2 linked regions of the Arabidopsis thaliana genome follow. The protein of the gene in region 1 interacts with the protein of each later gene in a pairwise test. Each region holds a gene or a part of one and is shown in the gene's direction. Other genes may lie near its edges.

The links.
Region 2: the proteins of RPA32B (region 1) and RPA1A interact in a two-hybrid assay, tested with the Arabidopsis thaliana proteins (one study listed by BioGRID).

What each region holds. Positions count from the first base shown.
Region 1 is NC_003074.8:650,918-656,452, reverse strand, and holds RPA32B (Replication protein A, subunit RPA32), read left to right. Parts: upstream 1-1,972; 5' UTR 1,973-2,263; coding exon 2,264-2,365; intron 2,366-2,751; coding exon 2,752-2,856; intron 2,857-2,961; coding exon 2,962-3,059; intron 3,060-3,152; coding exon 3,153-3,194; intron 3,195-3,267; coding exon 3,268-3,345; intron 3,346-3,559; coding exon 3,560-3,638; intron 3,639-3,724; coding exon 3,725-3,826; intron 3,827-3,907; coding exon 3,908-3,984; coding exon of another isoform or gene 3,985-3,988; exon of another isoform or gene 3,989-4,339; coding exon 4,340-4,408; intron 4,409-4,524; coding exon 4,525-4,609; 3' UTR 4,610-4,881; downstream 4,882-5,535. Other genes in the region: AT3G02930 (weak chloroplast movement under blue light protein (DUF827)), read right to left, coding at 1-335, 443-644, 1,131-1,147. UniProt on the Arabidopsis thaliana protein: Component of the replication protein A complex (RPA) required for DNA recombination, repair and replication. The activity of RPA is mediated by single-stranded DNA binding and protein interactions. Required fo cell division in meristems.
Region 2 is NC_003071.7:2,582,841-2,588,228, forward strand, and holds RPA1A (replication protein A 1A), read left to right. Parts: upstream 1-2,143; 5' UTR 2,144-2,254; intron 2,255-2,342; 5' UTR 2,343-2,374; coding exon 2,375-2,646; intron 2,647-3,110; coding exon 3,111-4,761; 3' UTR 4,762-4,846; downstream 4,847-5,388. Other genes in the region: AT2G06500 (hAT family dimerization domain-containing protein), read right to left, coding at 114-310, 340-383; PSBX (photosystem II subunit X), read right to left, coding at 5,028-5,378. UniProt on the Arabidopsis thaliana protein: Component of the replication protein A complex (RPA) required for DNA recombination, repair and replication. The activity of RPA is mediated by single-stranded DNA binding and protein interactions.

The sequences.
Region 1 (5,535 bases):
AGAGTAGCTGATTCTGAAGCATGTTGGTTCTTGACATTCTCTAGTTCTTTCTTCAACTCTTCTTCTTTTCTCTGAACCGCCTCTATCCCTGCCTCAACAACCTCAAATTTCTCAATTTCGAAGTTCTCCAGGGACTTTTTCTGAGCTTCTAAAGCCTCATCTAGTTTCTCAGATGCCTCTTCAGCTTCTTTCCGCGCTTCTTTAAGTTGATCAAGTGCTTTAGCTTTTTCATTCTCGAGCGATGCTATCAGCTCATTGGCTTTCTTTAAATCTTCCTTGATTTGAACTGACTGAGGTTGCGATTCTGATACTCTCACAGCCCGTATTTGAGTTTTCTGCAAACAATCATAAGACAACAAAACAATGGATATCAACATTTGCAGCATAGTGTGTCAAAACTAAACCAAGTTAAGACCAGGCAAACTATTATGAACACACTTACTTCTGGTGGGGTTGGAGCTTTGGGGGACCTCTTATCAGTACTAGGCTTTGAGTTAGAAGAAGGGCGCTCGAACGAAAGCCGTGACTGTTGTTGAGTCGGTGAAGGAGAATTAGAATCAGGTTTAGTCACAATCCGAGTGAGTCTAGGCACTCTTAGAGATGTTGAAGATGATTTCCTCAAAGTAGTGTCAGATAAACCATTTCTGCTTCAGAAAACAACAAAGGTCTCTCATCAAGCAAGCAAAACAAAACAAAACAAAACAAAACACGTGAGAATTGATTACACTTGCCAAAATCATTAAAAAAAAAAAACTAAGAACTCTGCCATGGAGCCTTAGATTAACTAAATTATAAAGTAGAAGAGAAGACAAATAAAAATCAACATAAATACAACATCACAACAACAACTAAGAACTCTGCAATGAAATTATTATTATTTTTTATATATAAGTGAAGCTGCTTGTAAGATTAAAAAAATCACAGAAACAGGAACAATCAGACAAATGTGTTACAAATAGAATCACTAAAAACCAGGAGATTAAACCCTAAACCCAAACCTAGTCAGATCTACCACATCATCATAGACAACCTCAAGATAGACCCAGATCGGAATTTGAATCGACGAAATATTCCACCGACATCAAAAAAAGGATCGGAGAATGAATCTTAATAAGGAAAAAGACACTTACTTAATCTTAGAAGCCATAGTCACAGCCTCTGTCTCGTTGCTGCGGATCAGTGAGAAGTAAATTACGTTAGAGGAGGCGACCAAGGAAAAATTGAGACTTGATATACATTATTAAATTATGGAACCTGGAAACTCAAATTTGCTCGAACTCTAACTGGGTTCCCATTTTTAGCGTAGAGATCAAGATCAAGAGAGAGAGAGACAATGATTCGGATTAAGGAAACGACTGATGAACCTAACGTAGAAGAAAATGATACTCCTAGTTGGTGAGGTTTTGTCTCACGAGTGGCCACACTCCCCAAAAAGTGTCAAAATGCAAACTATAAAATAAATTAAATGAATTAAAAAAAATCCGATTCGGTTTCCTACGTGATAAACGCAAACAATAACACGACTAAATAATCGCTTGAATTATCATCATAAAACTAAAACGTGAGATTAGGGAGATTAAAAGACTAGTCTTCCCCATAGCTAATGCGGAATAATATCTGTATACCGTTACTATAAATATTCGATATGTACCAAACTTTTTTGTTTGTTTTTTTCTAGTAACAAAAAGAAGAGTATATATATGCAACTTAGGGAAATTTCTGAAATATGTAAAAGATACTATTTGATTGATTGATAACTAACTTTGTTATACATCGCATTCGCAATATCTTGTTGAATACAATATCTCTACGACTCTACCATTAGGCAAACTTTTTATCGGGCCCAGTGGCCCATATTTATTAAGGTCCATTTATTAACCGCAAGAAGGACTGGGAGTCTCAAAGTTGACCTGGCTCCTTCCATAAAAGCAGTTTAGTAAATAAATGGACTGTAATCAGATTGATATTTGAAAAAAAATGCTTCTGAAAACAAAAATTCACTTGGAAAACTTTAAAAATTAGTCGCGGGAAAATGAGAGAGATTTTTGGCGGGATCTCTATATAATTTTCCATTAGTTATTAATTATTTATTTTATGAGAGTAACTTGAGATTTGAGAATAAGAAAAGTTGAAATTTGTAAAAGATATGAGAAATTAGTAAATTCCAGAAACTTATTAGAAGCGGCGGATCGAATTCGCGACGAGCGTTCCATTAGGGTTTCGAATCAACATCAACAAACGACGAGAGAAAACTTTTTAAAACATGTACGGAGGCGATTTTGACGGCAACGCTGCTTTCGCCGGCGGCGGCTTCATGCCTTCTCAGGCGACTACGCAAGCCCATGAATCCTCATCTTCCCTCAAGGTTTCCTCTCTTTCTCTCTCTAAATTATCTTCTCAATTTGAAAAAAACCCTTTCCGCGTTTTGTGTAATCCAAGTTCTCTCTTATCATGCGAATTTTAGTTCTGCCTGCTCTCTATACCTAGGTTTATGTATCTGATTCTCGTCGTTTCTCGGGAATATCTGCTGCAAAAAGTTCCATTCGAGTTTTCTAGGAAATGTTACATGGATGAAAAGTATCGAAGAACAAATTGTTGACTAGATATTATCTAGAAATGTGGATTTTATCTGTGAATTTTGAATCTTATCATAATTGTACGTTTGTGAATCTGGATATAGAGATCACAGATGAGCACCATTTTACTTGAGCAGTCCAGCAATGTATGAGAGTGTTCACCACTATTTTGCAGAACCGCGATGTACGTACCTTGCTTCCCCTGACACTGAAGCAGTTGAGCAGCGCATCAACCACTGGCGAATCAAATTTCTCTATTGATGGCGTTGATATTAAAACTGTGAGCTCCTTTTTATCTTCTGCTGTTAAAACTTGTTTGCTGATAATGTTATGCCTTAAGCTCTATTGATTCAAGCATTTGAGCTTTGGTGTTATCTGTGTATAGGTTGTAATCGTTGGACGGATTTCTAGAATGGAGAACAGAATCACTCAGGTCGATTTTGTTGTTGATGACGGTACAGGCTGGGTTGATTGTGTCAGATGGTAAATACTTATAATACTAATGCTAATACAGCCTCAATATGATAATGCTTTCATAAAAGAGCTCAACTATATCTCTTGCTAATTCATCTGCAGGTGTCACGCTCGGCAAGAAACTGAAGAAATGGAAGCAGTCAAGTATGTTTCTTCTGCACATTCCTAGATCTTTAGAATAGTATATCAAAAATTTGATAGTTCACATGTATAACAGGCTGGGAATGTATGTTCGCTTACATGGACACCTGAAAATTTTTCAAGGGAAACGATCTGTGAATGTTTTTTCAGTCAGGTTTGTTTTCCTGACATACTTTTCTCTATCAGTCTATGATATATGTGGTCAGCGAATCATTTCCTATTAGCCTTTCTGGATTTGAAAATTCTTGTCGATCTATGATATTTTTTCTCAGTGGCTCAAAATGTTACATTTTCTATTTTGTGTTCTCCAAGTAAATGTATTTGCTGCATCTTAAAGATATATACTTAGTCCAATAATATGCTTTCAGGCCTGTCACTGACTTCAATGAGATTGTACACCACTTTACCGAGTGTATGTATGTCCACATGTACAACACCAAGTTACGGGTATTACCCTATCCTTCACCGCTTTTTTAATCTTTGTTCCACAGCTTAATACTTCTCATGTTAGGTACTAACCTCTATTACTTTAGGGTGGTTCTATTACTCAAGATACTGCTACTCCTAGGCCCCAAATGCCATATTCAACAATGCCAACCCCTGCAAAGCCCTACCAAACCGGTCCATCTAATCAGGTATTAGACAAAATCAATCTAGAATTTAATTTTACATGCTCTTTTGTGGTCCTCTTAAGTTACTCACAGAATCTTTTTCAGTTCCCGAACCAATTCAATGATTCAATGCATGGTGTAAAGCAGACGGTCTTGAATTACCTGAATCAACCTATGCACATGTAAGTTCATCTAATATCCCCAAAAGAACCCAATTAACTTGTCATATATTTCATTCATTTCATACAGCTTTGAATACTAATGATCAAACTGCAGTTCATGAAATAAGCAAATCAACCTCTAAAGTCTCTATGAGCCAACCTTGACTAAATTTTATGTAAAAATCATTCAACTATATCAGCCTTGTGGCCGATGTTTGAGATTATGTTATTGCAGCAGATTGATGTTCTTGAGTCAGTGATAAGTGTATTGCCATATGAATTCAACTTCTTTCATTGGATTCTCCTTCTCTCTCGCTCATCTAAAAGCATAACTTGAGTTTGATATTTGGTGTTGTATATGTTGGATCTACATCAGTGTATCTGAAGCTGGAGTTCACTGTGATATAATTGCCCGTGAACTCAGGATTCCGCTGCTTCAAGTCAAGTAAATCTCCTCTCATTCTTACTCTCTATCTCTATCTCCCTCCTATCACTATTTGATAAAGTTACAATATAAACAAAGAAATTTTCTTGACAAGAACGGCTTTGTCTGTGTGGCAGGGAAGCGTTAGAACAGCTCTCAAACGATGGTTGCATATACTCGACTTTGGACGAGACATGCTTCAAATCGACTGCTAACGCTTGATGAAAATTGATTTATATGTCAACACATATCAATCCTCCTCTCATGTTCAAAAGTCTTTTGTATAGGCCCTAAGGTAGGACAATATGTAGTTTTAAGACTAAAAATCTTTCTTATGGCTTTTGGATTTTTTTAAAGGGAACTAAACTCAAAAGTTCAAAATCATTTTCGTCACTTGATTTCCTTTTGTTATATGGTTTTGAGAGAATTTTATTCTTTTTAGAGTGATTATTTTTCTACCGAAGCGAAAACACAACATCTATCTAAGAACTGCAAACATGGGTTAATTAATAAACCATTTATCAAAATCATATGGCTTTTGGATTTAGACTAAACTCAAAAGCTTTCCTATGGCTTTCGGATTTTTAAAATTCATTTCCGTCATTTGATTTTGTTTGTTATGCTTGCCAGTTGCTACTGATGGTGTCAATTAGGTCGGCCCGAATTCTAAGTCCCGGTCCAATCTGAATATTGGTCTGGGCCTTTGATCTTTACCAGAGACATTTTGTTTTTGTTTTTGACGAATCTAAGAAAGTAACAACTTGAACTAGTACCAAAGGTTTAAACGGCTTGCTCTGCTTAAAATGCTCTGATTTTTTAAGATAAAAAATTGTCAAACAAAAGGTTTTGGTTTTCCGTTTCTGCATTAGTGACATGACCATGGCAGATTATTTCTTGTCGATGTGAAATGTTAGGAATATATGATGTTTTTAATAAATATGAAAATGCAAATAATTGAGATACTAAAAAGAATATACAATTAGTTACGAGTGTAATTCTGTAGCGTCCTGAATCTCCTTGAGACGTTACACTTACACCTATGTTTTGTTAGAAAGATACTAATGTTGTATTTTCAGTTTTGTGATATTTGTTTAGTGATTGATTAGTTTGACTACCGATCTTTGATCATATGGCGATATTTGTTACTT
Region 2 (5,388 bases), on another chromosome or scaffold:
TGATAACCTTGCCACTGGATCTTTTTCAACTATTAAAACTCTTAATCTCAAATTCATGTTATCCCAATTCGCCGGATAAGAAATATTGGAAGGAATGTCTTCATTCTATCGACTTTTCTTCTTTTCAAAGACAACTTCAGCTTGTTCTTGTTGTTTATTCTCAAATTCATTCTCATCCACTTGAACCACTTCATCCAAATTGTCCACTTTATTCTCTGGATCCACTTCATCAGCTCGTTCTTGTTGGTTATTGTTTCCATCAGAATTAATGACTTCAGAAATTGTAGGATTTTCAGGTTTTTTCATGTACCTAAGAAGAGAATTAGCCTGTGATCTTACCAACTCTTCTCGTCTCTTTTGCAATTTTCTTTTATCACATCCATGAGGTTCCTTTTTGATCCCTAAAGGAGGCATCGTTCAAAGTCTCAACTCAACGCTCTAACGTACGTCGGTCGCTTGCTTCTTCACGGCAGATGGAATTAATCAGATTTTTAATGGAGGAAACCTAGAATAAGAGAATTGGTTGATGGGCTTTAGAAGTCTTGGGTTGAAAATCAGATTTTTTCTTCTCAACTCTCTTTTAATTAAGCCTCGTTGGACTTTAAAATTTTTGGGCCCTAAGCCACCGCTTATATCGCTTACGTCACGGGCCGGCCCTGCATGATTGTCTCAATCTATTTCTCATATGGTTGGTTGGTTGGTAATTTCAAAATTTCTGATGATAACTTGATTTGTTTGATAATTGCCAGGTTTTAGCTTGTTATCAAAATTGTGTCTATGAATTGGCTAATCTAATAAATTACTTGGGTTCTGTTTCTTTTTTGTTTACCTTTTTGATTATTGACGATCATATTTGGTTTTGTTTTTCATCGATTTTGTTTTCATCATGTAGTCTTTTCAATTTGTTCCTTTTTTGCAGTCGACTCTGTCAGCTGTAACCAAAATTGAAATCAAAACTAAGGTTCATGATCACTTATTCTTTTTCATCCTTTTGGAATTTTGGTTAATATGTGGTGAGATTCATGTAAATTAGTTTTTTTGGTTCTTGTTGTTGTTGTGTAGTGAAAGCTAGTACAGATGATGTGTTTTATGAGCTTCAAAACCCTAGAGAGCAGATCCAAGCTTATGTGTTTAATGGTAACTTTTTGCTTCTTTCTTGATATTTTTGTTGTTGTTGAAGAATTAGCTCTGTTTACGATTCTTGATTTGTTCTTGTATGTTTTTTTTTTTTAAACATAGTGGTTAGAGCTTTGGTGCCAATGATGACGCTAGATGCTCTTTTGAACAAAAGTGAGAAGTTGCTAAGTCTGTTCTTGAGTAATTTGAGAAGGTATAACATGTTGTTCATTCGAAATCTCATTCTATTGAGAGATTCTTTTGAGAGATTCTTGATATTTTATAGTGATTAAACATTTGTTGAGCTAATTAATTTGTTGGTTTTGAATCTAATTTTTTTCTTTTTTTTAAAAACCCCAAATTAATATACTACTATTAATCATGCCAAAAATTAAAACTCTTACCAAACTCTTAACTACAAATTTTCAATATCAATTAATAAAAATATTGCTAAGAGTCATTGCTAATAGCCTCCCATTGTGGATGCTCTAAGAGCATCATTATTGGGGATTGCTTAGATTATTCTTAGGGTAGTTCATAGGTATATATATAATTAATTTTGAAATCTTTTATGTTAAGAGTTTGGTTAAGAAATTATAATTTTGGTAATATGCAATGGTGAGTTCTTAGCTTTGAGTTCTTAAGAAGAAAAAAAAATATTTAAAAATAAAAACATTTTAATTTTAAAGACTTTAATAATGATTACAACATAAATTTTGAAAACATTTAACAATGTAGTTAATATTTTACACTCACCCAATAAAAACTTGACACATGTCTAGCTCTTAGATTTAATTTTTGCTCTTATATAAGAGCAATTCTTACCAAAGAAATCAATTAAAACATTAAATTTCTAATCTAATTAACATAAGAACTAGTCTGAGCTTACCAATAAGGATGTTCTAAGGGGTTCTATAGTCTTTCTCTCTTTCGAGAATTTAATCCAAGTCGTTCACAGTTACGAGTCGAGGGTAAATTAGTAGTTTTACACTGAAATATCAACCAAAAAATTTCAAAATTGAAAAATCTCCATAAACTGTTTTGCGACCCAAAACAACATCTTTTAAGCTTCTCCCGCAAAATTCAGCAAAGCTTTCGGAGGAATCTCCTAACAGTCACCACCACCACCACCGTCTAGGTCAAATCTCGTCTTCCTCACGCTCTATTTCTCCATAGAATATTTCCTAACTCCTCCTCCGGTTTATCGATTTTTTCAATTTTTCTAGGGTTTCGCGCCGGGATCTAAAAAATCACAATCATGCCGGTGAGTTTGACTCCGAACGCAATCACGGCGATACATGACGGCGACGTGAATTTGAAGCCGTTGTTACAGGTTTTAGAAATCAAAATGATAGGAAGAAGTCAAGAGAGAAGCCAGGAGAGGTATCGTTTCCTCATTTCAGATGGTGTTTCTGCTCAACATGCTATGGTCGCGGTTCAGCTTAATGATCGAGTCAAGTCAGGACAATTTGAGAAAGGATCTATCGTTCAGCTGATTGATTACATTTGTAGCGACGTTAAAGGCCGCAAGTAATTTTTCCATTTTCTCTCTGGTTAGATCTAGTTTTCGTTGTGTTGAATTGCTTAGTTTTCTAGTGATCTCTGATTTGTTGCTTAGTAATGTTTCTGAGTATTCGTGGCTATGTATTTGGTTTAGTATGTGTAAGGCATTTGTTACAATGAGTTTGCAGAAGCAATGATAGCTTCGCTTTTGGTAGAGACCTTTCAATGAGGTTTCGTGTATTGATGAATGATTTTGGTTAACATGTACTAGTGGGAAAGATTTGTGTTGTTGTCTTTGTAGTTCATGGTATTTAATGGTTGGTAGGCAGATGTTAAGGACAACATTTAGGATGATAATGGAGATGATTTTGTTGATTGTGTGAGTTGGAAAATATAGTTACACAATTGTTTTGGTTGAACATGACATATTTGAAGGAGTTTTGCTCTCTTTGATTGTGATTTTCTTATGGATTTATTCATACTGTGTACAGGCTTATTGTGGTGCTGAACATGGAGACGATAGTACAACAGTCTGAAACCATTGGGAACCCTACAATATTTGGAGAAACAGATACAGAAGCCCAGAAGACATTTTCAGGTACGGGCAATATACCGCCTCCGAACAGGGTTGTTTTTAATGAACCAATGGTTCAGCATTCTGTTAATAGAGCACCTCCCAGGGGTGTAAACATTCAAAATCAAGCCAACAATACTCCAAGCTTCAGGCCATCTGTTCAACCTTCATATCAACCGCCTGCAAGTTACAGAAATCATGGACCCATCATGAAGAACGAGGCTCCAGCTCGAGTCATCCCTATTGCTGCTCTCAATCCATACCAAGGTCGATGGGCTATTAAGGCTAGAGTAACTGCGAAAGGAGATATCAGACGATATAACAATGCAAAAGGAGATGGAAAGGTTTTCTCGTTTGATCTGCTTGACTATGATGGAGGGGAGATTCGGGTTACGTGCTTTAATGCTCTTGTTGACCGTTTCTATGATGTTACTGAGGTTGGTAAGGTATATTTGATTTCAAAGGGAAGTTTGAAGCCTGCACAGAAAAATTTCAACCACTTAAAGAATGAATGGGAAATTTTCTTGGAGTCAACATCGACTGTGGAGCTTTGCCCTGATGAAGATGGCTCCATACCAAAGCAGCAATTCTCCTTCCGCCCAATAAGTGACATTGAGAACGCTGAGAACAATACCATACTCGATGTCATTGGTGTGGTGACTTCTGTGAACCCCTCGGTGCCAATCTTGAGAAAGAACGGGATGGAAACCCATAGGAGGATCCTGAATCTAAAGGATGAATCAGGAAAGGCTGTAGAGGTAACACTTTGGGGAGAATTCTGTAACCGAGATGGTCGGCAACTGGAAGAGATGGTTGATTCAGCTTTTCACCCGGTTTTAGCAATAAAAGCTGGAAAAGTAAGCGACTTCAGTGGGAAATCAGTAGGGACAATATCTTCAACACAGCTCTTCATAAATCCAGATTTCCCTGAAGCTCATAAACTACGGACCTGGTTCGATTACGGGGGAAAAGACACTGCTTCCTTCTCCATCTCCAGGGACACTATGCCTGGAGGAGTTTCCAGGAACGAGATAAGGAAAAATGTTTCTCAGATCAAAGAGGAAGGTCTTGGAAGATCAGATAAGCCTGACTGGATCACTGTGAAAGCAACCATATCATTCATCAAAACAGATAGCTTCTGTTATACAGCTTGTCCTTTGATGATCGGGGATAAACAATGCAACAAGAAGGTTACACGGTCTGGAACAAACAGGTGGCTCTGTGACCGGTGCAACCAAGAGTCTGATGAATGCGACTATAGATACCTTCTTCAGGTACAGATTCAAGACCACACTGGGTTGACTTGGATAACCGCGTTTCAAGAAACAGGAGAAGAAATAATGGGATGTCCGGCTAAGAAGCTTTACGCAATGAAATACGAATTGGAGAAGGAGGAAGAGTTCGCAGAGATTGTTAGAGACAGACTGTTTCATCAGTACATGTTGAAGCTGAAGATCAAAGAGGAATCGTATGGGGATGAACAAAGAGTGAAGATGACTGTTGTGAAGGTTGATAAGGTGAATTATACATCCGAGAGTAAATACATGCTTGATTTGCTCGTAAGGTAAGTTCGTTCTAGGTATTACAGTGAGGTATTTCAATTAACTCAGAATATGCAAGCTCGAGTTTAGTACACTATTATATTATGAATTGATGAATTCTATTGAATCTTGATTCAATGAAGCTTAGTGTTATGATTTCAAGTCTCAATCGTCTTTCGAATTCAGGAAACAACAAATTTGACTTTTATCCAAAAGTTCATTGCTGCAACATTGAAACGAATACACAGAAGGAGAACAGATTACAATAATGATGTAAGAAAGATATATAGGTCTTAGGTTCTCTTGACAGGGTCAAAGTTGGAGACGCCGACGACGACACCAATGATGACAGTGAGGACGAGGCCACCAGAAGCAATGCTGAGCAAGAAATTCTTGAGGGAAGGAGAGATTCCAGAACCAGCAGCTTCAGCTATCTCCGGAATCACCATCGAAGCAGTAAGAGCAGCCGCGGAGATACCGGTCAAAGCCTTGTCCATCTTGAGGGCCTTAACTTGAAGCCTCTGTGCTCTGCCTCCAGTTGCAACCAAAGCCTTGGATGGTTTCAGAGGTAATGGCTTAAGGAAAGGAGACGAACGGGTCTGGTTAAGTGGTGTGACCAATGACATCGCGGAGGTAGAAGCCATCTCTTCCGAT